6 linked regions of the Cricetulus griseus genome follow. The protein of the gene in region 3 purifies or fractionates together with the protein of the main gene of each other region. This does not show direct contact. Links are inferred from orthologs where the notes say so. Each region holds a gene or a part of one and is shown on either strand. Other genes may lie near its edges.

Region 1 (4,636 bases), about 170 Mb from region 3:
GAACACTGGTGTTCATACCTTGACTGTGCATTTCTGGCCAGGATCATTACAAGATTCTTGGTTCTAAGAATCTTAAAATAATTTTTTTTTAAGAGCCAGGGTATGAATTTCATCTTTAGCATGTCAGACTTGTGATAGGGTGTTAATTAGGTTTACATATTAGCTTGAAAAGATAAGATGGCCTTGTCTACAGTAACATCTCAGAAAGTATAGCTAATAGAAATGTTACCAGTTCTGCAGTGAGCTGCAATGTATCTGACTGGAAAGGGCAGGTTCAGTAATGGCTTAGTACAATTGGCAAAACAAACAGCTCTAGAAGCAAGCTGCTCTTTAATGTGCTAGTGTCCAGCTCCGGTTGTCTGGGTCCTTTAGGGCTTTTTTGTTTCTGCTTTGCATGTAGTGCGTACATGTTTGCACCTGCTATGGTCTGTTCTTTGCCATGTGTTACTTCTTGCTTGTCAGTAGCCTTGTTTCTTGCTCACATCTGCCTTGGTGTTGGGTTGTATTCGATCTCAGCCCACTTATTGTTACTTGGATCCTTTTCTCCATTCTCTGCTCTCTTCCTAAGTCCGGCTTTAATTTTGCTGAAAATGCTTCCAGAGTCTTATTGCCTGCTCTCACAGTTAGTTGTCAGGACCACTTAAAGGCTCTTTTCTCTAAAGCCTGTTAAGTTCTTTTTCCATAGAGCAGTGGTTCTCCACTTGTGGATTATGACCCTTAGGGGTCACATCAGATAAACTGCTTAATAGATATTTATGTTTCAATTCCTAACAGTAGCAAAATTAGTTATGAAGTATCAGTGAAATAATTTTGAGGATGGGGTCACCACAACATGAGGAACTGTATGAAAGGGTCACAACGTTAGCAGGTTGAGAACCACTGCCACAGAGCAGTGATAATGAATCTGCCTCCCTTTAAGACTGCTCAGGAGTAGGTGGCAGGGACCACATTAATTTCTGAATGTCTATCATTGCCTAGTATCCATTTAAAATGCTGTGACCCTTTAGTGAATGCTTGACACAGATGCTTCCTTCTCCTCTGCCTCCCAGCAGGTGACCTCATGTCCCCTATCATGCTTTGCACTTTATCTACTGCCCTTTCTAGGAAGTTGCTGAACTTTGAATCAATGTGTCCTTGCTGTCCATCAAGTTAAATCTTGAAATTCTACTGCTCTCTGCATAGTTTCCATGGAAAGAGAGCACAGTGTTGGGATTAAAGGTGTCACCACACCCTACTGGAACAGTATGTTCATAAACTTTGCACATTCTTGTGCTGACCAGTCAGCTTCCCACCAAGCCACATCTGAATTCCTTTTGCCCTTCTTTTGCATTGTTAATCTTTGGTAACTCACATTGGTCTTGTCAGTAAATGTAATTGTAAACTCATGAGCAGGAACCTTGTCTTCCCTGCTTGGGAAATCTCTAACACCCAATGGAAGGCTATGTACTTGATGGAACTTAAAGGCTTGTGCCACCAATGCCCCGGCGACCTTGGATTCTTAATCCCACTTCTACCACCACGGTACTACAATCACATGCCCCACTAATTTTTTAATTAATTTCTACCCTCTGAAAGTCTTTCTTAGTTACCCAGATAACCACAGGTACAGGGCTTCTATTTTTCATACCCCCAATTTACTTTTTTTTAATGTCATTTTCAGCAGATTTGATAGACATAAAGCCTGTCATACCTGTTTCAGAAAAGGTGTTGCCTCTCAAAAGAGTCTGAATGGCTTTGATACTACATAGCTTGTACCCTGTGTTCAGAATGGATGGACATTGACTGACTGTTTCTTCTCAGCAGGACAAGAACATCAGAAGATTGAATTTGGTGTTGAAGAAGTCATCAAACCAAGTGATAGTTTGCCGAGAACCACTACCTACAGTATTTCAAGCACCTTGAATCCTCAGGCACCTGAGTTTATTCTTGGTTGCACAACTTCCAAAAAGACCTCTGATGGTGTAGAAAAAGATGAGAACTACAGCTCCGTTGACCAGTACCCAGGCTCAGCCCTGGCCCTGGAAAACAGCTCTAACATAGAGGCAGAAGCCTTGGAGAATGATGGTGGTACTGGTGGTCTTGGTCAAAGGGAGCGTAAAAAGAAGAAGAAGCGCCCCCCTGGGTACTACAGTTACCTGAAAGATGGTAGTGATGAGGGGGTTTCCCCAGCTGCCATGGTCAACGGCCATGCCAGTTCAGCAGTCACGAACAGCGTGGGTGTGGAGGATGCTGAGTTCATGGTTGATATGCTTCCTTCAGTTACGCCCAGGACTTGTGACAGCCCTCAGAATCCCATGGATTTCATCAGTGACCCTGTGCCTGACAGTTCTTTCCCTAGAACACTAGGTGGTGATGGCAGGACTGCAGGGCTGCTTGAGGGCTGTCGTGGAACTGACTTTGAGCAACCCTGCCTCCCTGCAGATAGCCTTCTAAGGACAGCTGTGACGCAACCCTACGTTGGCACCAATACTACTGAGAATCTTGCAGTTGCTAATGGAAAAATACTTGAATCCTTGGGCGAGGACACTGCTGCTAATGGGGTAGCGTTGCACACTGAGGAAAACACAGACTTGGACCCTGCAAAGCCTGAGAGCCAGTCACCTCCTGCCGACAATGTGCTCTCTGTGTCTGGGGCCATTCCCATTAGCCAGCCTGCAAAGTCTTGGGCTAGTCTATTTCATGATTCTAAGCCCTCTTCCTCCTCGCCTATGGCATATGTGGAAACTAAGTGTTCCCCCCCTGTCCCATCTCCCCTAGCCTCTGAAAAGCAGGTGGAAGTCAAAGAAGGGCTTGTTCCAGTTTCAGAGGATCCTGTAGCCATAAAGATTGCAGGTACAGTTAAACAGACAGGCCGACTGTAGATGGGATTAGGTTTTAGGGACACATTGTGTAGTGTATTGGTAACCACAGTGGTGATAGCTGACCTGTGTAGTAACAGGAAGTAAAGGACATGTATGCATTAGTATTATCCAGTTGTAAAACAGTATTACATATAAGAAAGATTGAAGGAAAGGGTGTGCCATTCCAAGTGGAAAACCTTTTTTTCTTCTTTTTTCTTTTCTTCTTTCTTTATTTTTTTTTTTAAACAAATTCTTATTAACAAACTCCATTTCCATTTCTTAGTGCTGTAGTGTTGGAATGTGTGACAAATGTGTCGTGGGTTGCAACTAGGGAATACTTAGGTGTGATGGTTCTCAGTTTGTACTCTTTCTATAACAGTATAGAAAAAGGCATTTAAGAAAATAATGCAGCCCTCCTCCCTACCCTTAGTGACTTTCTTTCTGTTGAGGGATAGATTTTATTCAACACTGTAGCACTAAGCTCAAGGTAGGAAGACACAGGAGCTGGATGCTGAGGTGCAGGTCTTGCGGTCCCCAGCACTGGAGACTGCTGCAGTGTGCTGTGCCCTTGGAGTGCTCAGAGTCCCAGTAGACAGTAAGGCGTATCCTTGATGGTCTGGCTTTGAAATACCACAATTGTGGCTGTTGGTGGAAACACACCTGTAATTCCAGCACTCAGGAGGCTGAGGCAGGGGGAGTGGCAGTTTAAAGCCAGCCTGTCTTCAGTAGCAAGATCCTATCTCAAGAGAAGCCAAAACAAAGATGAGAACATTTATTCCCTATGTGAGAATGTTATTCTGAGTCTTATCTTATCTCTTCAAATGAGAAAATTGATAGAATTTTTAATTTATTGTTTTGGGCTTCAAATTATAGCCCAGGCTGGTTTGAACTTGCTTTTTAGGCTAGGCTGTCTTCAAAGTGCCTCTTCTTCCACTTCTGAGTGCTGGGATCACAAGTTGTACTCCTGAACTCCACTGGGATAATTTATCTTTTTTTTTTTAATTTTAAGTTTTATGTATATGGTATGGGTGTTTTGCCTTCGTGTATGTCTAGGCACCACTTGTGTATTTGTGCCAGTGGATGCCAGAAATGTGAATGCTGGGAATCAAATCCAGGTCCTTTGGACTAGTAGCCAGTGCTAATAACTGCTGAGCGATCTCTCCAACCCTTTTTGATGATAGTTTAAAGTCATTTTCTTCTTTCCTTTTTATTTTAATACAAAAAATTGATAAAAGATTTACTCATTTTATGCGTGGGTGCTGGGAATTGAACCCATTCTACTAGACCAGCAAGTACACTTAGCCCCTGAGCCATCTCTCCAGCTCATTTTTCTTTTTCTTTGTAGCACAAAGCTTTTCACAGATTCTAAGGTCATCTTGTTAGTCTCCCAAGTGCAGGGATTCTATCTGCATATCTGTGTGCCCTGCCTGTTTTTCCCTGAATGTATTTGTTTGCAGGACTGGGGAGATGCCTCAGTAGATAAGAACACTTGTTATGCGACCATGAAGATCTGAATTTGAGTCTCCGGCATCCCTGTAAAAAAAAGCCAGATATGGCCCTTGTACTTCTAACTCTCCACCATTCTGGGACTTGTTGGCTAGCAATCTAGTGTATCTAGCAGGTGGATCTCTTTGAATTCTAGGCCAGCCAGGGAAAAAAATCTTTATAAAAGTTCTAATCAGAGGTCTGACAGGTAGAGAGACAGTCATGCTTCCATTTATGCCATTCTAAATGCATATTGCCTTGGATGGGTTTTTTGTTGTTGTTGTTGTTGTTTTGTTTTTTTGAGACGGGGT
Region 2 (5,110 bases), on a different chromosome or scaffold from region 3:
ATCTTCAAGACTGGTGTCAGGACAAATCATTACATCACGGCTACACTGCACGGGGTCTTTCCCAGCCAGGCCTGCAATAGTGACTTTAATCTGGAGAAAGAGCAGATGTTCAAGAACATGGAAATATACAGACACAGGGCGACACTTAATACCCATTCGGTGGTTTTAAGTAACTTGTCAGAGATTACCACAAAACCAAGCAGAGGCAATGGCCAGATATATTAAATAGCAGGAATCTTATGGTTTGTCCAAGGACAGTACTAATTTGTAGCTGAGCTGCTACCGCAGTTCTGACTGGCTAGAACACCCTCTACGCTACAAATGTTGAGTTCGGAGATGAATTACAGAGTCACCCTTTTAATAGCCCATCTTGCAAGGTTACCGTTGTCATTTAAACCTCATAGTTTTTTCCAAAGTAGACATGAAAGTCAAACAATTAAAGAATACTTTATTGGGAGGCAGAGGCAGGTGGATCTCTGTAGGCCAGCTTGGTCTCCAGAGCAAGTGCCAGGACAGGCTCCAAAGCTACACAGAGAAACCCTGTCACGAAAAAACAAAACAACCCCCCCCCCAAAAAAAAAAAACCAAAAAAATACTTTATCCTGCAAAACATTTAGTAGCAAGACATTACCATTAGCTAGTACCCAAAACACAGGCGTTTCCTACAGTGCTGAGGCCAGCAGGTTAGCTCACTGAAGACAAGCTATCAAAATCCAGAGATGTTGATCCTAACAGTGCTTGCCCAGTAATCACAGTTTTAGGTGCAGAGTCTGAAACTGTCCTCACATTTGCACAAATAAAACCCACAAGAGTATTTATTACAGAGGCTGGAGAGGTGCCTCAGTGGTTAAGTGCACCTGGATTTGGTTCCCAGCACACACATGGCAGCTCACAGCCACTTAACTCTAGTTCCAGGGGATCAGGCACGCTCTTCTGGTCTCTTCCCGTACCAGACACAGTAGTGCACAGATACACATGCAGAAAGACATTCATCCACAGAAAAGGTTAAAATCTTAACTATTTACTCCAGTGTCACAGGGCTGTGACGGGAGGGGGGGAGGCAGTGGCATCTGTACTGTGTAGAGTGCTGTACAGCAACATGAAATGCGGGAACTGGAGTTTCATCTTGAGAGCCGAGTGTAAACTGCCCGGGCCTGCATTCTGCTCAAACAGTAAATCAGCACAGCTGAGTCAGCATTGCTGTCAGGTTTGTGTAAATGCTCAGAGTGAACCTGGCAGACACAAGCGCGTTCCCTGTTCACAGTGTTATAGAAGAGACACGCTCCATGTAAGCACAGGATGTGAAGCACAGGCTAATGCATGGGACATTCTGGGGAAGGAGGAATGGACACATGCCTGAGGAGACTCCACAAAGGGGAAGCAGGAAAAGCCCCTACTTCACAGCATTTACTTTAAAAACCAAGAACAAACCAACAAAAGGTGTCCAGGCCAGAAGTGTTGGCCCATGCCTGTTATCCCAACTACTTGGGAGCTGAGGCAGAACAGCTTGAGCCCAGGGGTATAGGGCTAGCTGGGAAACCCACACACCCATCCCTTGAATAAATTAATTAATCAATTAATTAATTAGAAAAGGGTCTGAAAGAAATAAGGCAAAGTGTCACAAGTCAGCAGTGATCCAGACATTTGGGAAGCTGAGGCAAGAGAACTGCCAAGAATTCAAAGCCACCTTGAGCTACACAGTAAGTTCCAGGTCAGCTTGGTCTAGAGGGTGGAACCCTATCTCAAAAGCCAAAAAAAGGTGAGCAGTGAACAACACCAGTGTTTTATTATGTAATCTCTGGAGTTTTGTACTTGAAATATCTCATGAAGTACGACAGGCAAGATGGCTCAGCAGCGAAAGGCTGAGGAGACTTTAGCTTAATCCCAGGGTGGAGGAGAGAACCAACTCATACAATTTCCCCTCTGACTTGCACACCTGAACCACAGGATGCAGGCTTACACACAACCAACAAGTAAAACAGGGAGGGCCAGCCCACGAGGGGAACTCACCCCAGCTCGTCGCATGACATCCACGGGAATCACCGTCTCCATCTCCTCTGCACCTTTGGCCAGGATAACCAGAGCTCTTTTGGAAGCCATTTCTAATTCTTAAAGATCTAAAAAAGGAAAAAAAAATTCTTTAAAAAGTTGCCAGTGTAGCCAGGCAGTGGTGGTGCACACCATTAATCCCAACACTTGGGAGGCAGAGGCAGGTGGAGCTCTGTGAGTTCGAGACCAGCTTGGTCTCCAGAGCGAGTTCCAGGACAGCCTCCAAAGAGACACAGAGAAACCCTGTCTCGAGAAAAAAAAAAAAAAAAGTTGCCAATGAATAACCACCCGAACCGTGTAAATATCTTCCAGGGAACAGGTTGGGATAAATTAAAGCAAGCCGTTTAGGTTAATACTGGTTTACATAGTGGCGTTCTGGTCGTTAATTCTGAGACGGAAACAGGGTAGCTGGCCTGGCGGGATGGACTACGGTAAGGAGCAGAGGACCCAGGTTTTGTTCCCAGCACCCACATGGCAGCTCACAGCTGTCTGCAACTCCAGTTCCAGGGGGTCTGGGCCCCTCTTCTGGCCTCCGCGGGCACTGCGCATATACAGATGCAGGCTAAACCTCATACAGCAAACACGCTCCTAAAAACATACCGCAGGGATTGCTAGCGTGTTAGCAGCGTTTGGAGCTTCCCTCACCCTGCCTTTTCTAAGCCCAGTTTCTTACAGAGGCATGCCACATAAGGGAGGGCCCTGCATGCCTGTCACACTGATTTAGGAGAGGCGGACTTTCTTAAACTACCGTGATTAAACACCACAACTGACTTTCACGGGCCACAGAGGAAATGCACAGTCTGCAAACTTGTAAATTCTGGAGGGTTTTTCGTGTGTGGTTCCCAGAAACCGTGCTGAAACCTGTGGGGCCAGGCCAGCCTCCGGCCACACCGCTCTCGCTGAGGGGGAAGGGGATTCCTTTCTCGAAGCCCAGGCCGCTCGCGCGTGCTTTCCCTGCCCCACGACTCCAGCCGAGGCCTTCCAGTAAATGCTCGCCGGCCACAGCCCGAGCGTGCCGAGCGGAGCTTGGCCCGGCATGCACCGCGGCCGCCCCGGCCCGCCCGCCAGGGCCCCTCCCGGGGCAGCGGGTGACAGCCGCGCCGCGCCGCGCCGCTCCGGGCGCTGACCTGCAGCCGCGCCTCCTCCACCCACGCGAAGCTTCGGCCTCTCAGCTCCGCCGCAACCCGCGCCCGGCCCTTCACACTCGCAGAGCGGCCCGCCAGCACGCATGCGCGCCGCACGCCCCCCCCGCTTCCGCCTCGGGCTGCGTCACATCCGGCCGGGCGCATCCGGGGAAGATGGGCACGCGGAGGTTACCAGGGCGACGCTGGCCGAGCGTCTCCCCTCAGCCAATGGTACGATCCCCTGCGGGCGCCGGACGCATTGGGCGCTCTCTGAGACCCGCGCACGAGAAGGGGCGCGAGTTCGAGGCCAGGCTAGGACAAGCGCGCGCACGCGCACACAGCGGCTAGGCTGGAACGTGTCTCCTCTGTCTCTCTCTCTCTCTCTCTCTCTCTCTCTCTCTCTCTCTCTCTGTCTCTCTGTCGTCTGTCTGTCCGTCCGTCCGTCTCTCTCTCTCCTCTCTCTCTCTCTCTCTCTCTCTCACACACACACACACACACACAGAGAGGCTAGGCTAGAACATCTTCTCCCCCCATCCCCCTTCTCCCTCTCTCTCTCTAAAATAAATAAAAGCCTGGCAAGGTTGCCCACACGTGTTTGTAATCTTACTACTTGCCATCTTTGGAGGATGTTTTACATCACTTTTCTTGTGCGCCGTTCCCCTTTCTTGCCCCTTACTGTGACACCCCCCTCTTTTCACCCCTGGCCTGCTAGTACTCCATTCCAGGTCATCCCAGGCCTGCCCCTCTCCCCAAGGCCTGGTCACCCTGTGTGGGGTCACAAGAGTTTTGTTTTTTTCACGACACTATTTTTAAAGGCCCAGCTGGGAGCTGCAGAGGCAGCTCAAGGGTCAAGAGATGTTGCTGCTTTTGCAGAAGACCCAGGTTTGGTTCCCAGCTCCCATAAGGGGAGACTCACAACTGCCTGAAACTCCAGTTCCAGGGGAATCCGATGGCCTCTTTTGGCCTGCACAGGCCCTGCACTCACACACACAAACTCACAAATAATAAAAGGCCCGCTGCACTCTTGGTAGAACAAGGCTGACATCTCCAATACGTTTTTAATGGGTTATTTAGATTGTATAATTTCATTTTGGTTTTTTACATTTGTTTGGTTTACATTTATGTCTTGTGTGTGCATCTAACCTGTGCTAAGAGCATGTGGAAGGGCAGAGAAGACTGCTTGCTGGAGTCTGTTCTTTCCTCACCACAGAGCGGCCGGAGATGGAACTCAGATCGTCGGGGGTGCAGCAAGCACCTTTACCTGCTGAGCCCTCTCACTGGCCCCTCCTAAGTTTTTAATGAAGGAGAGAGGCTCATCCTCACCTGGTCCCATCCCGCCCCTACCAGGAAGTGCAGTTCATTTGGCACCTCTTAGTGCTTTGTGCAAGCCCCATGCAGGATGTACACTTGCTTCCCTTTCTCTACGATGAGACTGAATGCCCCGCATACATTGGCTGACCTCCATTACAGGTTCATTTTGGAAACCTGACTTACTGGAGATTCTTGCAACAGGGGGAGTGTTTTGTTTTTCAAGTTGTACAATTGTTAAGTCGTGTAGACCACACCGTACTTGAGCAAATGTAGGATGTTGTTTAAGGATTTAAAAAGAAACTATTTTAGGAGTTCTAGAATGACTTGGCTTTTGAGCTAGCCCTTCAGCTTTGAAAGTGTAGAAACCAAGGGTGACAGACAGAAATACACAGGGGCAACTTAAGGGTACTGGGCAAGGTGGTTCATGCCTGTAGTATCAGAATGAAATCCATCTCTAGGTGGACACATACCCTTGTCTCTTCACTTAAGGATTAATCCAGTGTGTCAGTTCAGGGACCTGGCTGGGGACACCCCAGGAAGGCGACTTCACCTTGAGAAGGTGACCTCTGCGGCCAGATGGTGGTGGGGCTAGGTTCAGGGCTGTTGCAATGGCCCTGGCAATAGTT
Region 3 (5,167 bases):
GTCCTCTGGGAAAAGAACAAAAAGGAAGAAATCCCTGCCTTGGTGTTGATGTCATTTTTCTTCAAGCTCAAGGTGATCGCTCGCTTTGTGGCTGGCTCGTCCGGGAGGAGGGGCTTGCACTCTAGTTATCAGCATTTCTGAACCAGCTCTCTCAAGCGCGACAGGTCAGCCAATCCCGGCAGTAAGCTTTTTTACTTGACAGGTTTGTTCTGGGCGGACAGCCATTGACTAGGTGCTCAGATAAGTCACTTGGCTGAGTCTACAGTAGGTGGGGCGCGTTCACCAGTTCAGGGGCAGTGACTGGAAGTTTGTTGCAACATCGGTAAGCCCGGGCAGCCAGCAGCAACAGGAGATACCCTTTTGCCCCGCGAGTACAGATCTACAGAGGGTCCATCTCATTAGCAAACGAGATGCGTCAGATGCCCTCAGGCCCAGCCTCTTCTCCCACGGTTGAGAACGCGCGGTGTGGGCAGACCCAGAGCAGGACTCTCGGCCTTCTGGCTCGCTCCATGGGTTGCAAGCGAAAGGGAAGCGCAGGCTGGGGACTCTCCGCGTCACCGTGCACAAACCGGCGGCGGCCAGCAGAGAGGGGTGGCCGGGGCACGTGCTTGAATGTGGGTGCTTGTGTAACCAGCTCCCCAGGCGCTTGGCCCCGACAGCGCTCCTGCGGACCGCTCGTGGGTGCCGCTCTCCGCTCCGACCGGGATGAGCAGGGGTCCGGCTGCCCCCACCTGGGGTGACCACCTAGCAGAGCAGAAGGGTCCAAGCTCTTGCCTCAGGAGCACACAGATAGGGGAATGGGAATTTGGAAAGTTCCCCAACTAGGACCACACGTGACCTCCTCCTGAAAGTAGTTCCGACCGTGGCTCGTGTATCCTTCCACCTCGCCTTTGAGCCCTCCCAGGCCTGCTCGCCCCGCCCACTCGCAGGCTGCAGCTTCCGACCCTACCATACTCCCCACCCCGGCCCAGTAACCGGCTCCCGGGCCGTGCACGGTCCGAGTGGAGCAGAACCTGGCCACAGCGATCCAGTTCTGCTGGGTTTTCAAAGCGGCCACAAACGGGAGGGGATGCTTAGCCACTTCAAGACGGAGGCTGGCTGATCCGGTGGACCCACGGCTGCGGGGAGCTGCGGGACTCGCCACCCAGCCGCAGAAGGGTGCGTGTGGGGTGCACCCTCTTCACGGAGATGCACTTCGTGTCCACCCAGGGGTGTCCTCTGGGCCCCGGATACTCAGGGGAGACGTGTAGGTACACGCCCCGTATGCACAATCATCACGCTTGGCTGGGAGCGTTCACCTTTCGAGCAAAAGATCCCAGCCGCCTGGGAAGCGAGAGGTGGGGCAGGGAACCCGAGCCCGATGAGGTGACCCACGCGGGAGACACAATAGGGGGTTGTTCTTTGTGCAAAGCCTGACACCTTGAGGACACCGTGGCGGGAGAGGTGCACCATCTAGGTAAAGGCTGTCGCTGACAAATCCTAGCGAAGCACTGCAATCTGACCACGGCGCGGGGCAGGGGACGCAAGCCGCTCCAAAGGAACCCAGGGGCGGGCGGAAGGAGGCGGGATGGGTGTCCCTGCCGCAGGGCCGTGCCCCTGAGGCTCCTGAGACACGGACCAGCACGACCAAGCTGGTCCGATCCACCGGAGAGCAGCCAGCGATCCCGCTCGGCGCAGCTCTCCGCGGCCACAGCCCGCCCTACCTTGGCCGGGTGTCTGCGAGCCGCGGCCGAAGCCGGCGCAGCTCCGGGAGACAACCGCGGTCACACTGCGCATGCTCCGCGCCGCGCGCCGCCCCGCCCCCGCCCGCCCGCGCCCCGCCCCCGGCTCCGCCCCGCCCGCCCCCCCCCCCATCCCTTCTCTCCTCCCCTCCGGCTTCGGAGGCGCCCGGCTCTCCTGGCGGGGCGGCGGAGGGGGCGGGCCGGCCGGCCGGCGCACGGTGATGTGGCGGGACTCTTTGTGCACTGCGGCAGGATACGCGCTTGGGCGTCGGGACGCGGCTGCGCTCGGCTCTCTCCTCTCGGAAGCTGCAGCCATGATGGAAGTTTGAGAGTTGAGCCGCTGTGAGGCCAGGCCCGGCGCAGGCGAGGGAGATGAGAGACGGCGGCGGCCGCGGCCCAGAGCCCCTCTCAGCGCCTGTGAGCAGCCGCGGGGGCAGCGCCCTCGGGAGCCGGCCGGGCGGCGGCGGCGGCAGCGGCGGCGGGCCTCGCCTCCTCGTCGTCTATTCTAACCGGGCAGCCTCTGAGCGGCTTCGGAGAGAGACAGACGGTGGAAGCCGCGGGCTCGGGCGGGAGCCGGCGCAGGCTCGGCGGCTGCACCTCCCGCTCCTGGAGCGGGGGGGAGAAGCGGCGGCGGCGGCCGCGGCTCCGGGGAGGGGGTCGGAGTCGCCTGTCACCATTGCCAGGGCTGGGAACGCCGGAGAGTTGCTCTCTCCCCTTCTCCTGCCTCCAACACGGCGGCGGCGGCGGCGGCACGTCCAGGGACCCGGGCCGGTGTTGAGCCTCCCGTCCGCCGCCGCCGCACCCCCCCTGGCCCGGGCTCCGGAGGCCGCCGGAGGAGGCAGCCGCTGCTGCGAGGATTATCCGTCTTCTCCCCATTCCGCTGCCTCGGCTGCCAGGCCTCTGGCTGCTGAGGAGAAGCAGGCCCAGTCGCTGCAACCATCCAGCAGCCGCCGCAGCAGCCATTACCCGGCTGCGGTCCAGGGCCAAGCGGTAGCAGAGCGAGGGGCATCAGCGACCGCCAAGTCCAGAGCCATTTCCATCCTGCAGAAGAAGCCTCGCCACCAGCAGCTTCTGCCATCTCTCTCCTCCTTTTTCTTCAGCCACAGGCTCCCAGACATGACAGCCATCATCAAAGAGATCGTTAGCAGAAACAAAAGGAGATATCAAGAGGATGGATTCGACTTAGACTTGACCTGTATCCATTTCTGCGGCTGTTCCTCTTTGCTTTTCTGTCACTCTGATAACGTGGGAGTAGACGGATGCGAAAAATTTCTGTAGTTGGGGTGACTATAACGTTTAATACTGGTCACATTTCTAGATCGTCAATTTTGTGTGTCTCTCCCGGTGTATTCAACCTAGGGAGTGTTCAGCTAGACGGAACTCATGCCTGCTTGCAAGTGTCAAGGCACGGATTGGTTTCTTGTCTAGCTCTGTGGTCTCTTCCTAAAATCTATTGTCCGTGAATGCAGAGTTTTGTACATTGGATTAACGAGCTCGTTAATCCAAGCCTTCTAAATGAACCAAATTAGACGCTGGTGAGGTTGTGCTTATTTCTATTAGATCGTGACTTAGGCCCTAGATCTAGGGTGTAGATCAGATTAAAATGAAAGTCCGTGCTGCACGAAGGCATATTACCTCAGAATCTTGCAGTGATTGTTAGTTTCCTGGGTTGCGTTGATAGATTTTTCTAAAATGTAACTTGTGGACTGATTTGCATAACTTTATAAGCATAGTCATCCTCAGAGTAGATGGTGCACTTTTGAGGGTAAAAGTAGGTTTTGTGTGTTTAAACTGGGGTAATTACTTACCACTTTGGAACTACATGTAGAAGTTCTGTAGTTTGAGATCAACAGTGCCAGAATTTGCGTTATTGGAGCTTTTAATAGAACTTTGTTAAATTAGACTTTGTACGTGGGATGAGGCATGAGCTTTGCATTTCAGCGGTATTTTACATTCATTTGGCTTTGCCATACATGATGGGATAGAAATTGAATAGTTTTTGGTCCCAGGTGATGTCCGTGTGAGTTCAAGGATATTGTGTGTGGCGAATGGTTGCAGAGGTTAAACCTCAGCTCTCACATGAAATTTAACTATTATCGTGAACAGGAATTTGCTGCTCAAAATTTTTGTGTTTCAGGTGCTCTGACCCGTTGACTGCCCATGGGTTTTACCCTGATTTGTATAGAATGTCAAGTATAATTTAACCAGCTAATGCCCAGAAATACTAGCAAGAGTGGATCACTGACTTCAGATTGTAGGTATGGTAGCTTTTTAAATGCAGTAATTTCCTGAGTCAGCTTGTTGAATAAGACAGAAACCCAAGAATTTTTAACGGTGTATAGTTCTGATTGTCTAAAAGTTAGGTCTTTGTACTTCAAAAGTTCGTGGTTATCTTAAAGCATTTATCTTTGCAGTTTCAGGTATGGTATTGGTTTTGATCAGGGATAGGAAGAGAGCCCTCCTTTTTTGGAGGAAGTATTGACAGATATTGAGAGCTTTTGGGAGGCCGGTGTGTGAAGAAAACACAAGTTGCTGCTCTGAAGTGACAGGGCTTTTGTTACGACCCCAAATTATTTTTTCATGTGACTTGTAGCAATGAGCAGAATTTAGTTAAAATTATGTAATTGCATAATTGTTAATAAGATAGTCTTAGTAAAAGTTAATTATTAGTAAATACCAGCAGACATTTCTTAAGGTAGAAGGTCAGAGACTTGTCTATACATGTCCTGATAATAATAAGAGCATTATGGAGAGGCTTTTTTTTTTTTTGTAAGAAAATGTTTTCATTTGGAAGAGGTTTGGTTTTTTTTTTTTTTTTTTGATTGCATTAGCAGCATATAAACATGCATAGCTAATTTTGACCGAGTTTTTGTTCTGAAATGAAGATGAAACTCACTGAAGAACTGGCTTTAGAAGTAGGCTAATTTTCTGTTAAGAAAATCTTTAATCTGTTAAGGTATCTTTAATTTTGAAGTTTGCATTAATTTTCAGTTTATATTTCAAAACTTTACTCTGGATGAACTTGACCTTTTCTGAAATGTAATTGTAGAAAATTCTGGGTTATCACTTGCTTCAAGGCAGTTGGTATAAATTAGTGATAGTAATCTAGATATAGAAGGAATTAGTCCGGTATCTGTTTAATTAAAAAAAATAGGCCCTCATTCAAAGAAAAATCTGAATGCCTGGTAGTCAGGCTTCTCTTACCTTCCACAGTACCCTTATGTTTTGCTGTTCCCACTTGATTTAAAATTATCAGGTGTGTCGGACTTCAAGATTGTTTTGCCAAATTTTTATGTGTGAGCAGTGACATGATTGCAGTTCCTTATTTGATTGCATAGTACATGGGCTTCTGCACGTGCCATTTCTGTGAGTTAGAGCTCTGAAACTGTACTTTTAGTATAATGTGCATAGAAAGCAGTATCAAATATTGCATCAAATGACTAATA
Region 4 (5,252 bases), on a different chromosome or scaffold from region 3:
GTGCCACCAGACCCAGCAAAGTAAAAGGAATCTTTAAGTTGGTGCAAAATGACTCCCCCCCTCTTTTTTTTTTTATTTAACTATTAATGCACCAGGTCTCACTCTTGGCCTATAACTTGAAATCCTCTTGCCTCGGCTGCCTCTGTGCTGGAATTACAGGTGTGTATCAACATGCCCAGTATACTTTTCCCGACTAAGAAAGTCCCAGGAAGCTGCTCAGGAGCTGACATTGCTGGGGACCAGCCAAAGGAAAGCTCATGCATAGGAGTGACTCTTGGTCTGCTTCAGACTTGGTCTGCTTCAGAGGCCATGCCTCTGTCCCCATTCCTCTTCCAACCTGAAAGGAGCCTGGGTTTAGGGACCCTGCTATTCATGGAACCCTTCGTTTTCCTGTTCATGAAATGTGTAGACTAGATTTTGCCCGTTTAGAGGTCAGGAAAGCTGTCGCTTAAGAGCTAGGGAACGCAGGGCCTGGTATGTGTTTACTCTGGAGCTGCATGTCCAGCTTCGAGAACACCTAGGCCCCTTTTATTGAGAGAGGGTATGGTGAGTCTTAAGTTCATAGTTTTAGATTTTGATTCAATGCAGCACACTGGGGTCTTTTTAGCAATCTCTATATTCACTGATTTTTCTACAGGCTTCTCTCCCGATACAATTGAGAGGATAAAGACAGCAGGGTCAGGTGAACTGAAGCGGACAGAGGCAAAGGAAAATGGGAAGGCAACCACTGCTAAACAATGAAAGCACATTGGGGAAGATGGGCTGCATGCACGCACTAGGAAGGAAGGTGTGGGCGGTGGCGTCGGAGACCTTGGCCAGAGCCGGCAAAGAAAGGAGAGGAACATTTACAGAGCACGGAGTGGCCATTCTCTCCTGGTGGGCTCATCAGCCCAACTCGCTTCCAGAGGCGGCCTTGGAAAATGGCAAGGCTAGACGGACAGGCGAGGCCTGGACAGACAGCCCAGTGGGAAGGCAGGGCGGAGGTACTAGCGCAATTTGGTTCTGGCACCTGGAACTGGGCCAACCCGTGACTAGCATCTTCACGCAGCTGCCTAGAGCTCCCGCTAATCTGATAAGATGGAGATCTCCCTCTCCCTAGGTCCAAAGAGCTGCAGGAGGCAAGAGTGCTAGAAAAAGGGAAACCAGCTTGAGAAGCAGCTTGCAGTGCTCGCAAAGGGAGGGCGCACGGCCCCGTGCGCCTTGTCCGTGGGCCACCTCGGAGGCTGGGGGGTGGGGAGTGTCCCACCCATCAGTGTGGGGTCCCCGGTCTGTTCACAGAAAGGTGTCCGCAGTCACTCACCCCCGCAGATCACGTGCCCTGCGACCGATCCAGGTCAGCCATCCCTCTCTCTGGGCGCCATCCCGCGTTCCACCCCCGCCCCCCCCCGCAGCAATGTGGGGCTCCCAGGGCCGGGGTCGTCTAACCATAGCGCACAGTAGGAGCATTGGGGGGGGGGACACAGTTCGGCATTAAGAGCCGGGCAGTAGGTAGCGCCTAGCCGAGCGGCTGCCCCCGCCGCAGCGGGGGGAGGTGGAGCCTCGGGGGGAGGGGTTGAGACCGCCGAGACAGCCCTAGAAACTGCTGGAAGAAATCGCAGTACCGCCGGCGTTGCTCCTTCCGCCGCGCGCCGCCAAAGAGTCCCTGGCAGCCCAGGCCCGCGCCCCTCCCGCCCGAGCAGCTGCTCGCCGCCTGCAGCTGCGGCCCCGTTCCGGAGGGTGGGCATCGGGACCCCCTCCAGCTGGACAGCGAATGTCCCACTGTCCTGCTCTCTCCATGTAGGGAACACTCTGGGAGGTGGGCTCAGAGAACGGCAGCCGAGTTAGCCATCTCGGTGCTCTTGCGAGTCGGGGGTGGAGGCGCCTGCCTCGAGGTTTCTGGGGGAGTCGGCGGGATATCCGCGCGTGGACACATCCCTAGCAGCATAAGCGCACCCCGTGGCCCTCATCTTGCCATGGCCTTGTCCTGGTCGTGCAGGAGAGGCCTCGGCTCGCCGCACAGGCCCCGGGTCGCCCCCCCTCCCGCCCCCAGTTGCTACCATGACGTCAAGGTGGGCGGGCGGCGGCAGGTGCGGGCGGCGGCCCCGCCCCCTGAGGCGGAGGGATCCAAGGGCGGGGCCGAGCTGTGCTTCGCCTTATATAGGGCGGTCGGGGGCGTCTGGGAGCTCTCTTGAGTCACCCCCGCGCACACTAACCTCCGCGTGCGAGTCGGTCGCGCTCCGAGCCCACCCGGCCCTGTACTACTACTCGGCTTTCCTGTCAAGGTAAGGCCGCGGCCTCCGGCCCTGCGGCTTCCCGGGGCTCGTTCCCCGGGCTCTCCCCCCCCATTCGCATCCGTCCTAGAAGGTCCCCGCCCAGCCGGGCGGCCTGTGGGCTGGTGTACCCCGAGCTGCTTGCGTCTGGCCCCGCGGGGTGGCTCGGCGAGGCTCCTTGGGGCCCCGGGTTGGGGCCCCGGCGCGTGAGGTGGGGGCGCGGCCCAGCTGTGTGCAAGGCAGCCGCACGTGGTAGGCGCCGACCTGGGACGCTGCCATGTTTGCCCTCCACTTCCGGGCGCAGCTGCAGGGTCCGAAGGGGCCGCGCGGTGGCGGGCTCCGCGGCGTGACTCAGCACGGCCCTGTGAGGCTGGCCTGGCCGCCTCCTTTGGACGCCTTTCCCAACGTGGTTGGGGTTCTTGGGCGTGGGGGTCGTCCACGGGGTGGCAGGGACGCTTGAGCGCACTGCCATTTGCCTTTCCAGATCTTTCCTGCGCTCCGGGGAAGGAGGAGGAGGAACCCGGAGGGGGCTGGCACGGGAAGATCCATTGGTCCCTCCCCTACCCCTCCCCTACTCCTCCCCGCCCTGGAGCTCAGATTGTTCTGGAAGCTCCTGGTGCCCCGCCCCAGTGCCCGGATGCTGGGGCAGTGGGAGGGTTGCGGTGGCGCCCCCTCCCCGATGGCTGCCGCCGACGCGTGTCCGGCAGTGACGAGGGTCGCTGGAAGGCTCGGGCCACCATTTTACTTGTGTTCAGGGCTATGCAAGTCTGCGCAGTGAGAGAGGTCATGGTGGAGCTTTTACCTCTTTGTCCTGGTTTAATTGCTCCTTGAGTGCCTCCATGACTGCAGCCTCGGGTTCCCTGCTCCTGCTAGGATGGAGCGGCACATAGAAATGGCTGCTGTTTCTGTTAGTTTCTTTTTTGCCCAAATAAAGTTGTAAAGGGTTTCCTGTATATGTTCACCGGGTAGCTAACGAATTATCATTTCTTGAATTTTAACAAGGTATGTTGTCGGGTTGAGCCTGTTTGAGCTGTAGTATACCGTTTTGGCTGCGTTTGTTTGAAGAACCATCCATCCTTTGAGTTTTTTCCGTTTTCGGTTTACCAGCTTACTGTAGCTTTTCAAGGTCTTTTTAAAAATGGCGGTTCTCATCCCTTGGGAATGGATACTACTCAGCTTAAAGCATTTTGAATTGGAGTTTAAAGTGCATCCATCGTTTTAGTAATTAATGTGTAATGCTTTCTTAGATGCCTGAGGAGGTGCACCATGGCGAGGAAGAGGTGGAGACCTTTGCCTTCCAGGCAGAAATCGCCCAGCTCATGTCCTTGATCATAAATACTTTCTACTCAAACAAGGAGATTTTCCTTCGAGAATTGATCTCCAATGCTTCTGATGTGAGTATCACAGCTTCATAGAAGCCCAGTGAGGGATTGAGAGGAGTCTGCCGTGGGTTGAGAGCCAAGACAATGTTTGCAGAAATGGAATAATGTGGCTGTGTGTTTATTTACAGGCCTTGGACAAGATTCGCTATGAGAGCCTGACAGACCCTTCCAAATTGGACAGCGGCAAAGAGCTGAAGATTGACATCATCCCCAACCCTCAGGAGCGCACGCTGACTTTGGTGGACACGGGCATTGGCATGACCAAAGCTGATCTCATAAATAACTTGGGAACCATTGCTAAGTCTGGCACAAAGGCTTTCATGGAGGCTCTCCAGGTGTGTGGCCCTATATCCACAACATTCTCAATACTGCTTTTGACTTGTTAATTTTTCAGTACTTGTTTTCACTAGTGATATGGTAGGCTTTTAACCTATGGAGATCAGAGGATTACTGGCCAGTAGGTCCCAGGGATTGAACTACTTGATAGTTACACTTGAGTTCAGCAAGCACTTGTGCAGAACCATTTTACTTACCTCTTAACTTTTAAAATCCTTTGGCAGGCTGGTGCAGACATATCCATGATTGGGCAGTTTGGTGTTGGATTCTACTCTGCCTATCTCGTGGCAGAGAAAGTGGTTGTGATCACAAAGCACAATGATGACGAGCAGTATGCTTGGGAGTCCTCTGCTGGTGGATCCTTCACAGTGCGTGCAGACCATGGTAAGCTGCCTGTCCTCGTTTGGATGCTTGGTAGAATTCTCTGGAGGATAGAAAGTCCAAAGTCTTGATCATGCACTGTTTAATCTCAGCACTTTGGAGGCAGAGGCAGATGGATCTCTTGTTTTAGGACAGCCTGGGCTACATAGAAGCCCTGTGTCAAAATGGGGAGCAGGGGGTTGAGTATTTTGGTTGTAGTTTTTTTGTTTGTTTTTTTTTTCTTCATTGTGGTTTTTTGAGACAGGGTTTTTCCTGTGGCTTTGGAGGCTGTCCTGGAACTAGCTCTTGTAGACCAGGCTGGTCTTGAACTCAGAGATCCTCCTGCCAGGATTAAAGGCGTGCACCACCCCACCGCCCAGCTTAGTTGTAGTTTTCTATGTCTTGATTCTATCATTCACTTTTTTATAGGTGAGCCCATTGGCCGGGGTACCAAAGTCATCCTTCATCTCAAAGAAGACCAGACAGAGTACTTAGAGGAGAGGAGGGTCAAGGAAGTGGTGAAGAAACACTCGCAGTTCATAGGCTATCCCATCACCCTCTATGTGAGTATGGACTTGGCAGTATTTGAGCAGTCTTTGCTGGTGATAAGTTCTCCACAACTCATTATCCAATTTGGTAATTTAGTTGGAGAAGGAACGAGAGAAGGAGATCAGTGATGATGAGGCAGAAGAAGAGAAGGGTGAGAAAGAGGAAGAAGATAAGGATGATGAGGAAAAGCCAAAGATTGAAGATGTGGGATCAGATGAGGAAGATGACAGTGGCAAAGATAAGAAAAAGAAAACAAAGAAGATTAAGGAAAAATACATTGATCAGGAAGAGTTGAATAAGACTAAGCCCATTTGGACCAGAAACCCTGATGACATCACTCAAGAAGAATATGGTGAATTCTATAAGAGCCTCACCA
Region 5 (4,636 bases), on a different chromosome or scaffold from region 3:
ATTCCACTTGAACACCTTTAGGAAGGTCATGTAGTGAGCTTGGGCTGCATCCATGTATCAGGACAGGAGCTCAGAGCTTCGGTTCCAGTGTGATGTCACTTTAGTTGTGCAGTGGAAAGGTGTTTTCTTGAAATCTCACTGCATGGCCGAGTGTTGCTGTATAAAAGTGTGAGCATCAAAGAGACGAGGTGTGGCTGTGACTGCCAGAGCAGAAATGAACAACAGCAGGGAGCCTGCGAGTCCTTGGACCCATTGTCTTGATCTCTTAACCAGTTACCAGTTTTGAATGTCTGTCTGCCCTAGTACTCTGTAAGTTTCTCAGGGACAAGGTATTGGGCCTTTGTTCCGGATTCAGTCACACCTGACATTTGGGGGTATTCATATAGGATTTGCTGGTTTAATAAGCGGATGTCTCATGTAACTGGTGAGGGCCTAGTGACCTTTGCCCTTGGCTCTGCCTTCAGGATTATTTTCGTCTTCTAGCCTGTGGTTCTGTAGAATCCACGCCACCTCTCCACATCTGTACCAAACCTGGATCAGAACTTGAGCTGTTGGTAATGCCTCATCTCCCTGTCCTCGCTTACTGGTCCATTGTCTCTTGGCCCTTTTCCTCAGCAGTTTCCTCTTCCTCTTACCACTTGTGTGGTCAGTTTTTACTGTGCCTTGACACAACCTAGAGTCACCTTGAACAGAGGCTTCTTCTAACCTCAATTGAGGGATTGCCTAGATCACATTGGCCTGTGGACATGTCTGTTGGGAATTGTCTTGATTGCTAATTGATGTAGGAGGGCTCAGCCCACTGTGGGCGGCACCATGCCTACGCTGGTGGTCCTGAACTGCGTGAGAGAGCTAGCTAAGCATAGGCTTATGAACCAGAGACAAGCCAGCAAGCAACTTTTTTTGCTGAGCCTGCCTCTAGGTTTCTTCCGTTACTGACTGACCTGGAAATGTAAGATGAAATAAGTACTCTCCTCCACGTTGCTTTTGGCCATGGTGTTTGTTGAAACAATAGAGTGAAACTAGAACATCACTTCTGAACTCGGGTGTGGCAGCCATTTCACCAGGAGCCCTCAGTGCAGTGTGGCCCCTTGATCTCTTCAGTCTGTTCTAAGTCATAGTTAGAGTGTGACCCAAGTTTTTTTGTTTTTGTTTTTTTTTCCTCCAAAATCTGTTGTTGACCTGAGGGCTCAGCCTGCTATTTTATCCTTTCATGATCTCTGGTTTTTAATTTCTCTCCTCTGTTTTTCACTATATTTTCTCCCTCTGTCTCTGCAGTCCAGGTTCCTGTGGTACACTATAGTCCATAGTCTGTCTTGTTGTTTGGAATATAATTCATTGCTCTTTTCAATTCCTCCTTGGCCATGGAGCATCAGTTGAGTAGTATCAGCCTGACAGCTTATCTGACACACCTCATCCCTCCCCTTCCCTGTGGGTGTACACACTCACACCTTTATGTTTCTGACATGAAGTTAGGATATGAGCACTGCTGTGCAGGATTTCCCTCGTCTCTGACACTACCCCACATTCACAGGAGCGATTGTGACAGCGGTGGTTAAGGGAACGACCAAAGTTAGCTAGAGGGGAAGACTCGGTCCAGCACAGTCCAGTCTCAGAAGGTTCCAAGCACAGTGCTTCTTTGTCTTCGGGAAGTTTTATGTGCTTGGCATTTCTATGACAGTACACATAGTGCTGTCAGCAGGGGACCTCACTGCAGCTTCAGAGTCCAGAGTTTGTCTTTGGGTTTGTTGTTGTTTTTGGCTATTTCTCTATTTCTTTTTGTGGTAGCATGTAGCTGCTGTATAGTTTGTTGGCAGCTGTAGTCTAGGGCCCATCATTAAAGAGAGAGACTTGCCCTTCTGCTTTGTCAGTTACTTTCCGGGAGCCTGGAGTAAAGGCCCGATCAGCCCTTTCCTGAAGCACTGGTTGTCTACATTGTCCATATTATTCTGATTGTAGTCTTCTCCAGGGCAGAGTGACAGAGTGGCCACAAGCCAGGGCTGTGTAGTCAGCTGCTGGGGTGAAAGCTCAGCTCACCGAGTTCAGACTCTGTGGCCTCAGGCCACTGTTAGCTGTCCTCACCTCCATTTGTTCCTCTGTCTGGTGGCGAGTGTGAGAGTTTTCCGAGCACTGCTCTGATGATCAGAAGTGATGATTTCTGAGAAATTATCAGCGCCACTTGACGCATGCATGCATCCGTTAGTGTGAGTTGTTGCCGTTTCTCTGTCTGTTGTTGTGCACGCCATGTGTGTCATGCAGCTGGGCAGACACGCGGCATTTACTGAAGGAGTTAATCAGCCCCCCTCCCCCCCCATGATGGGAACCCAGTGCAGTCTGCGTGTTGTTCACTTGTAGCTCTCTAGACTGACAGCTGGAGGCCTTTGCAGATGCGTGGCCGTGCTTCTCACAGCTTCCAGCTACATGAAATACCAACCATGTTTCATTTGCACTTTTCATCATAAAGACTTCATTTTTCTTTCCTGTTTCCATGCAGTGGCCAGTTTGTCAAAGCCTGGTACTTTTGCTGGCAATGATGCAATTGTAGCCTTTGCAAGAAACCATCAGTTGAATGTGGTGATCCATCAGCTTAATGCCCCTTTGTGGCAGGTAGGTCACCTGTTTAGGAATGTCCTTAAGATGATGGGGCTTGACCTGTGATGCTGAATTCCTAAGAATAGTTTGGATCATGAGCTAACCAAAGACAGGAATCTTGTGATTTGGAACTAACCCCTGTGCTGGGTGTAAATGGAGTCTGGAGTGTGAGTGAGAAATATTTTATGATCCTGGGGTATTATTCAACAGTCAGCTAAGTGGGTGATTTGGGGACAGAAACTAATGTGGAACTGCTTCAGATAGTCTTATTAAACTATCTTAGTATATCGATGTTTAGTACACACAATTTGTAGTTTTGAAGTATGCCCGTTCTCCAGCAGTTCCTATGTGTGTGTTTTTAATTAGGAGTAGAGAAGTGTCATAAAATCCTTGATAGTGACTATGTTCACCATAATGACTAAAAAGGGTTTTTCCAACAGTAGAGTGCTTTATTTTTTAGTTTTTATTCAGCTTTATTTCTGCATTTTGCTTTTTTCTACAATATTTTTTGTTTGCTTGTTTGTTTTTGGTGGGGGAGGTTCAAGACAGGGTTTCTTTGTGGCTTTGGAGGCTGTCCTGGAACTAGCTCTTGTAAACCAGGCTGGTCTCGAACTCACAGAGATCCACCTGCCCCTGCCTCCTGAGTGCTGGAATTACAGGCGTGCGCCACTAATGCCCAGCTACAATAAAAATTTTATAGCAAATGTTTGCTCCAGACTGAGACAGTTGTGAAGCCAGACAGTCCTCCCTGAAGTATCTGCCCATTCAACTCCTTCTCTCTGTCTCCTACATTAACCTCATCTGTTGGTCCATCAAACCAAATGTCCTAGAGCACAGGTGATCAGAGGCCGCTGACTGAGTGCACACCCTGCTCCCTTGTTCGTTCTCTCAGAATTCAGAGGGCTTTGTGTGACTCTGGCTCAGCTCCACACACTGGACATTTGCTTTCACTGACCCTTTGCTCTGTGTCACCATCTTGAACTTTTTTTGTTTAGAAAGTTAAAACCTTTTAATTGAAGAACATCTGGGAAATTGAGAAAAGCCCCCAGAGGCGGGTGAGGGCCACCAGAGTCACACTGACTGGAATTAGGACTGTTAATTTTTTTTTTTCCCAAGAAATTTTTTTTTTTATTAGTTTAAATTAGAAACAAGCCTGCTTCACATGTCAATCCCTTCTCCCTCCCCTCCTCTCCCACCTCCCATGACTGTTAACATTTTTAGTGTGTGTCCTTCCATTCACCCACACTTGGGCATATGATTGGGGGTACATATCACATGTTTTTACAATACATTTTAAACACATGTATGCGAATTCACACACACACACACACACACACACACACACACAAACACCTACCTTCGTATGCATGCATTACTTAAAGGTAATGACATCTTTTCTTCGAGTGCTGCCTGCACGCACCCCTTTGTAATTCCCTAAGTTGTGGCCTGCCCACTTTTTAGAAATATAAATTATACATGCCAGAAATTCACCCTTTTCTGGCTTACATCTATGTTTTGATGTACGTATAACACCACCACCAACATATGGAATAGCTCCACTTTACCAAGAAGTTAGTGCCTGCCCTGGGCCACACTACCCACTCATCTCCTTCCCAACCTCTGGTAGCTACTGTTTTCATTTCTTTCTTTTTAGTTGTACTTTTCTGTCTCATAAATGGAAGTCTTCAGCCTTTTGTATCTGTTAGTGTCCTTTGAACAGAGTTATATAGGACAAAGTGAAGTAGATGATGGCGGGGCTGGTGAGAGCATCTGCCCAAGGATGTGGTGAGCAGGAAGGAAACAGGATCCATCTCCTTGTCCAGTGTGGCTAGATGGCAGGGAGAGGACCCTGTGTTGAGTGGGTGCTCTTAAGAGTGATCTACTGGCCAAGAACACGGTTACCCTTCCAGGTCCAGGCGTTTGTTAGTAGCCTTTGCCGGCAGTGGAATTGTCAGGATACTTGAGTATACGGTGTGAGGAACCTGATCTAGAAGGAGAAACCCGTCAGCGAGGTAGCCATCACTACTTATCTAAAGATAACTGTTAT
Region 6 (4,511 bases), on a different chromosome or scaffold from region 3:
AGAGTCCTTCATGTTTCCTAGTTTCTTTGGTGAAGAGGATTATAGGCTGGTAATCCTTTGCTCTATGTCTAAAATTCATATATGAATGAGTATATACCATGTTTGTCTTTTGTGACTGGGTTACTTCACTCAGGATGGTTTCCTCTAGTTCCATCATTTGCCTGCTAATTTCAAGATTCCATTGCTTTTTTCTGCTGAGTAGTACTCCATTGTATAAATGTACCACATTTTCTCAATCCATTCTTCAGTTTAGGGGCATCTAGGTTGCTTCCAGGTTCTGGCTATTACAAACAATGCTACTATGAACATGGGTGAACATATATATGTCCTTGTTGTATGAACCTGCACTATTTGGGTATATACCCAAGAGAGGAATGGCTGGATCTTGAGGTAGACTGATTCCCATTTTTCTGAGCAACTGCCATACTGATTTCCAAAGTGGTCTTACAAGTTCGCACTCCCGCCAGCAATGGAGGAGTGTTCCTTTTTCGCCACATCCTCTCTTGCATAGATTGTCATTGGTGTTTTTGATTTTAGCCATTCTGACAGGTGTGAGGTGGTATCTCAGAGTTGTTCTGAGTTGCATTTCTCTGATGGCCAATGATTTTGAGCACTTTCTTAAGTGTCTTTCAGCCATTTCAGATTCCTCTGTTGAGAATTCCCTATTTAGTTCTGCACCCCACTTTTTAATTTCATTGTTTGGTGTTTTGGTGGCTAGCTTCTTGAGCTCCTTATATATTTTGGAAATCAGTCCTCTGTCAGATGTGGGATCGGTGAAGATCTTTTCCCATTTTGTGGGTGGTTGTTTTGTCCTACTGACTGTTTTCTTTGCCTTACAGAAGCTTCTCAGTTTCAGGAGGTCCCATTTATTAATTGCAGACCTCAATGTCTGTGCTACTGGCGTAAAGTTCAGGAAGCGGTCTCCTGTGCCAATTTGTTCAAGGGTAATTCCTAATTTCTCTTCTAGAAGATTCAGAGTGGCTGGATTTATGGTGAGATCTTTGATCCATTTGCACTTAAGTTTTGTGCATGGTGACAGGTATGGATCTATCTGCAATTTTCTGCATGTCCGAATCCAATTGTACCAGCACCATTTGTTGAAGATGCTATCTTTTTTCCATTGTATAGATTTAGCACCTTTGTCAAAATAAGGCATTCGTATGTGCGTGGGTCAATATCAGGGTTTTCAATTCGATTCCATTGGTCTATCTGTCTATTTTTGTGCCAATACCAAGCCGTTTTCAGAACTATGGCTCTATAGTAGAGCTTGAAGTCGGGGATGGTGATACCTCCAGAAGATCCTTTATTGTAAAGAGTTGTTTTGGCTATCCTGGGTTTTTTATTTTTCCATATAAAGTTGAGTATTGTTCTTTCAATGTCTGTGAAAAACTTTGTTGGAATTTTGATGGGGATTGTGTTGAATCTGTAGATTGCTTTTGGCAGGATTGCCATTTTTACTATGTTAATTCTACCTATCCAAGAGCATGGGAGATCTTTCCATTTTCTGGTATCTTCTTTAATTTCTTTCTTTAAATTCTCAAAGTTCTTATTGTACAGGTCTTTCACTTTTTTGGTTAGTGTTACCCCAAGATATTTTATGTGGCTTTTGGATATTGTGAAAGGTGATGTTTCCCTGATTTCTTTCTCATTGGATTTATCATCTGTATATAATAAGGCTACTGATTTTTTTGAGTTAATTTTGTATCCTGCTAACTTGCTGAAGGTGTTTTTCAGCCGTAGGAGTTCCCTGGTAGAGTTTTTCGGGTCACTAATGTAGACTATCATGTCTGCAAATAGTGAAAGTTTGACTTCATCCTTTCCAATTTGTATTCCTTTGATCTTCTTTTCTTGTCTTATTGCTCTAGCCAGAACTTCAAGTACAATATTGAAGAGATATGGAGAGAGTGGACAGCCTTGTCTTGTTCCTGATTTTAGAGGAAACGCTTTGAATTTCTCTCCACTTAGTTTGATGTTGGCTATTGGTTTGGTGTATATTGCGTTTATCATGTTTAGATATGTTCCTGTTATTCCTGTTCTCTCCAAGATCTTTATCATGAAGGGATGTTGGGTTTTGTCAAAGGCTTTTTCAGCATCTAGCTTTCATGCTTTGAACTGTTTCAAGAGCTTCCTTCACTTGTTTGGATGTCTTTTCTTGGGTTTCTTTAGATTCTTTAAGAGATTTGTTTATTTCTTGAATTTTTTGGTTTGTCTTTTCCTCCATTTCGCATAATTTTTTGTTTGCTTTTTCTTCTATTTCTTTAAGGGATTTTCTTGTTTCCTCTTTAAAGGTCTCTATCATCTTGCCGAGATAATTTTTGAGGTCCATCTCTTCTTCATGCTCTGTGTTGGGCTTTTCAGATCTTGCTGGAGTGGAGTCCCTAGATTCTGGTCGTCTGAGAGATTTGTTGATATCTTGTATTTTTTGGTTTGTTTTTTCTTCCATTTCTTTAAGGGATTTTTCTCATGTCCTCTTTGAGGTTCTCTATCATTTTCCTGAAGATGTTTTTAAGGTCATTCTCTTTTGCTTCATCTGCATTGTGATGTTCAGGTCTTGCTGGTGTATGATTCCTAGTCTCCGGTGGTGTCATATTGGGTTTTCTGTTGTTGGATGTGCTTTTACCTTGTCCTCTTCTCATCCTTTCTTCTCGTGGGTGTAGCAGGAGTCTCTTGCTCTCCTGGTGGTTATGGGGCTAAGGTTCCCTTCTGGTAGATGGGATATCCAATACTCTTATGACTGTCCTTTTCTCGTGGATGGAGTTGGAACTGCCACTGGGGCCTCTGGAGGGTCTGGTGTGTCGGATTCCGCCACCGAGTTCTGATCTGGGCCAGTGGATGGAGGCAGAATTGCCACGGGGGCTTAGCTGTATGGGATCCCACCACCAAATTTGGATCCGGTGCACGCTGAGCAGTGACATGTTTTTTACTTTTTGATTTCCTTTTACATTTCTACCACAGTTCTCCCTCCCACCCCTCCTCCAACCCCCTCACTTTTTCCCATCTCCCCTCAACTCTCCCACCCCCCCCCCCCAGTCCATTCTTCCTCATGGGTAAAGGCTCCTATGAGGAGTCAATATAGTCTGGCACAATAAGGTTAGGGGCAGGCCCCCTCTCCCATGCATTAAGACTAGGCATGGCATCCCACCATAGGGAGTGGGCTTCAACAAGCTAGCTCATGTATTGGGATTATATCATGCTCCTACTGCCACTGAGCATGACATTTCACCCTAAGGAATAGGCTCCAATAAGCTAGCTCATGTACCAGGTTTGTATCATGGTCCTCCTGCCAGGGGCCCCTCAGAAAGTCCAAGCTAACAACCGTCTCCCACATATGGAAGGCCTAGTTCGGTTCCCTGGAGTCTCCACAGTTGTAGGTCTAGAGTTCATGAGTTTCCAAGAGCTTTGTTCAGCTGTCTCTATAGATTTATGTTAACCCTTTGATGTTCACAGAAGCTGTTTGAACATAGGTGTTGGCTCATTTTTACAGAAAGGAAATGGAGGCTTAGAGAGCTTAAGTAGTCCAAAGTCATGTAATTTATGAGCCAGGCAGAATAGGACCTTTACCATCCCAGCTCCAGAGTCAGTCATCTTCACCCTGTGTAATAGAACTTCCTATATGTACGTATGGTCTAAATGGCTCTTAGAAAAATGCTTATTCACTAAACACTACTATTGCAGTAGGGTTTCCCATGTGTAACCCAGCTGGACTTCCAGTTTGTGACCCTCCTTAGTTCCCTACGTGCTGAGATGACTGTCACAGGCTGGTATACATGTTTAGCTTGTGATTGCTTTATATTTGTATTATTGTTTTCCCCCTAGATCTTATAAGACCACGAGATACATACCAGTTTTTCGTGGAGCAACATGGTTTGAAAGTTTTTAAAACATTGGATACAGCATTTTTTTCTACTGGAAAATTGGTTTTAGGACCCTATGAAGAAAAAGGAAAGCAGCATGTTGGCCAAGATATATTGGTGAGTATATTTCTCCATTTCTGCTTTTCTAGAAGTACAACTGATTCTTTTTCTCAGATGATGCATTAAAATTCTATTTACTTGGTAGTGACATCTTATTGTTTATTACATAAAGAAATCTTTTCCTTTATTAAATGTGTTTCAGTTAACCAGTCAGTAATTATTTAAAAATACCTGTACTGGGCATAGCACAACCTTAGGTTCAGTGGTTTATGGTGTCATTGTTTCTTAAGAGAATCTTAGAATATAGATTTGCTAATAAAATTGAATTTTAGAGCTGAAGATTATGGAGGTTATGTCTTGTGAACTTCTGTAATCATATGGTTGAGGATCAGAATAGTTAAAAAATGACTTAACTAGTTAAGAGTGCCCTTCAGACAAAGGGCTAGCTGCTCCATTCAGTACCAATAGGCTATTGTACTTGACAGGGTCTGAAGTTACAATGAGATTTATGATGAGTTGGTATGTCTCACTCTTTTCCTTCCTCTCTCCCTTCTTCCTTTCTTCCCTTCCTCCTTTCTTCCTAGCCCTTTGTCTCAG

What was found.
Region 1: the proteins of Pten (region 3) and Usp10 purify together in Homo sapiens (affinity purification with western blotting; 4 studies listed by BioGRID, with this or other methods). This does not show direct contact. The link is inferred for Cricetulus griseus from reciprocal best matches to the Homo sapiens genes PTEN and USP10.
Region 2: the proteins of Pten (region 3) and Park7 purify together in Homo sapiens (affinity purification with western blotting; 4 studies listed by BioGRID, with this or other methods). This does not show direct contact. The link is inferred for Cricetulus griseus from reciprocal best matches to the Homo sapiens genes PTEN and PARK7.
Region 4: the proteins of Pten (region 3) and heat shock protein HSP 90-beta purify together in Homo sapiens (affinity purification with mass spectrometry; 3 studies listed by BioGRID and IntAct, with this or other methods). This does not show direct contact. The link is inferred for Cricetulus griseus from reciprocal best matches to the Homo sapiens genes PTEN and HSP90AB1.
Region 5: the proteins of Pten (region 3) and Otud3 purify together in Homo sapiens (affinity purification with western blotting; 3 studies listed by BioGRID and IntAct, with this or other methods). This does not show direct contact. The link is inferred for Cricetulus griseus from reciprocal best matches to the Homo sapiens genes PTEN and OTUD3.
Region 6: the proteins of Pten (region 3) and Cenpc purify together in Homo sapiens (affinity purification with western blotting; 3 studies listed by BioGRID, with this or other methods). This does not show direct contact. The link is inferred for Cricetulus griseus from reciprocal best matches to the Homo sapiens genes PTEN and CENPC.

Annotation. Positions count from the first base shown.
Region 1 is NC_048596.1:196,581,631-196,586,266, forward strand, and holds part of Usp10 (ubiquitin carboxyl-terminal hydrolase 10), read left to right. Parts: intron 1-1,800; coding exon 1,801-2,832; intron 2,833-4,636. UniProt on the Homo sapiens protein: Hydrolase that can remove conjugated ubiquitin from target proteins such as p53/TP53, RPS2/us5, RPS3/us3, RPS10/eS10, BECN1, SNX3 and CFTR.
Region 2 is NC_048595.1:5,483,210-5,488,319, reverse strand, and holds the start of Park7 (Parkinson disease protein 7), read right to left. Parts: upstream 3,331-5,110; 5' UTR 3,177-3,330; intron 3,062-3,176; exon of another isoform or gene 2,821-3,061; intron 2,118-2,820; 5' UTR 2,101-2,117; coding exon 2,011-2,100; intron 91-2,010; coding exon 1-90. UniProt on the Homo sapiens protein: Multifunctional protein with controversial molecular function which plays an important role in cell protection against oxidative stress and cell death acting as oxidative stress sensor and redox-sensitive chaperone and protease.
Region 3 is NC_048596.1:28,807,003-28,812,169, reverse strand, and holds the start of Pten (phosphatidylinositol 3,4,5-trisphosphate 3-phosphatase and dual-specificity protein phosphatase PTEN), read left to right. Parts: upstream 1-1,975; 5' UTR 1,976-2,093; coding exon 2,094-2,916; intron 2,917-3,016; exon of another isoform or gene 3,017-3,932; coding exon of another isoform or gene 3,933-3,979; intron 3,980-5,167. UniProt on the Homo sapiens protein: Dual-specificity protein phosphatase, dephosphorylating tyrosine-, serine- and threonine-phosphorylated proteins.
Region 4 is NW_023276807.1:31,888,361-31,893,612, reverse strand, and holds the start of heat shock protein HSP 90-beta, read left to right. Parts: upstream 1-2,122; 5' UTR 2,123-2,261; intron 2,262-3,496; coding exon 3,497-3,643; intron 3,644-3,759; coding exon 3,760-3,966; intron 3,967-4,191; coding exon 4,192-4,351; intron 4,352-4,756; coding exon 4,757-4,890; intron 4,891-4,972; coding exon 4,973-5,252. UniProt on the Homo sapiens protein: Molecular chaperone that promotes the maturation, structural maintenance and proper regulation of specific target proteins involved for instance in cell cycle control and signal transduction. Undergoes a functional cycle linked to its ATPase activity.
Region 5 is NC_048595.1:14,397,600-14,402,235, forward strand, and holds part of Otud3 (OTU domain-containing protein 3), read left to right. Parts: intron 1-2,491; coding exon 2,492-2,604; intron 2,605-4,636.
Region 6 is NW_023276807.1:151,258,923-151,263,433, reverse strand, and holds part of Cenpc (centromere protein C), read left to right. Parts: intron 1-3,816; coding exon 3,817-3,971; intron 3,972-4,511. UniProt on the Homo sapiens protein: Component of the CENPA-NAC (nucleosome-associated) complex, a complex that plays a central role in assembly of kinetochore proteins, mitotic progression and chromosome segregation.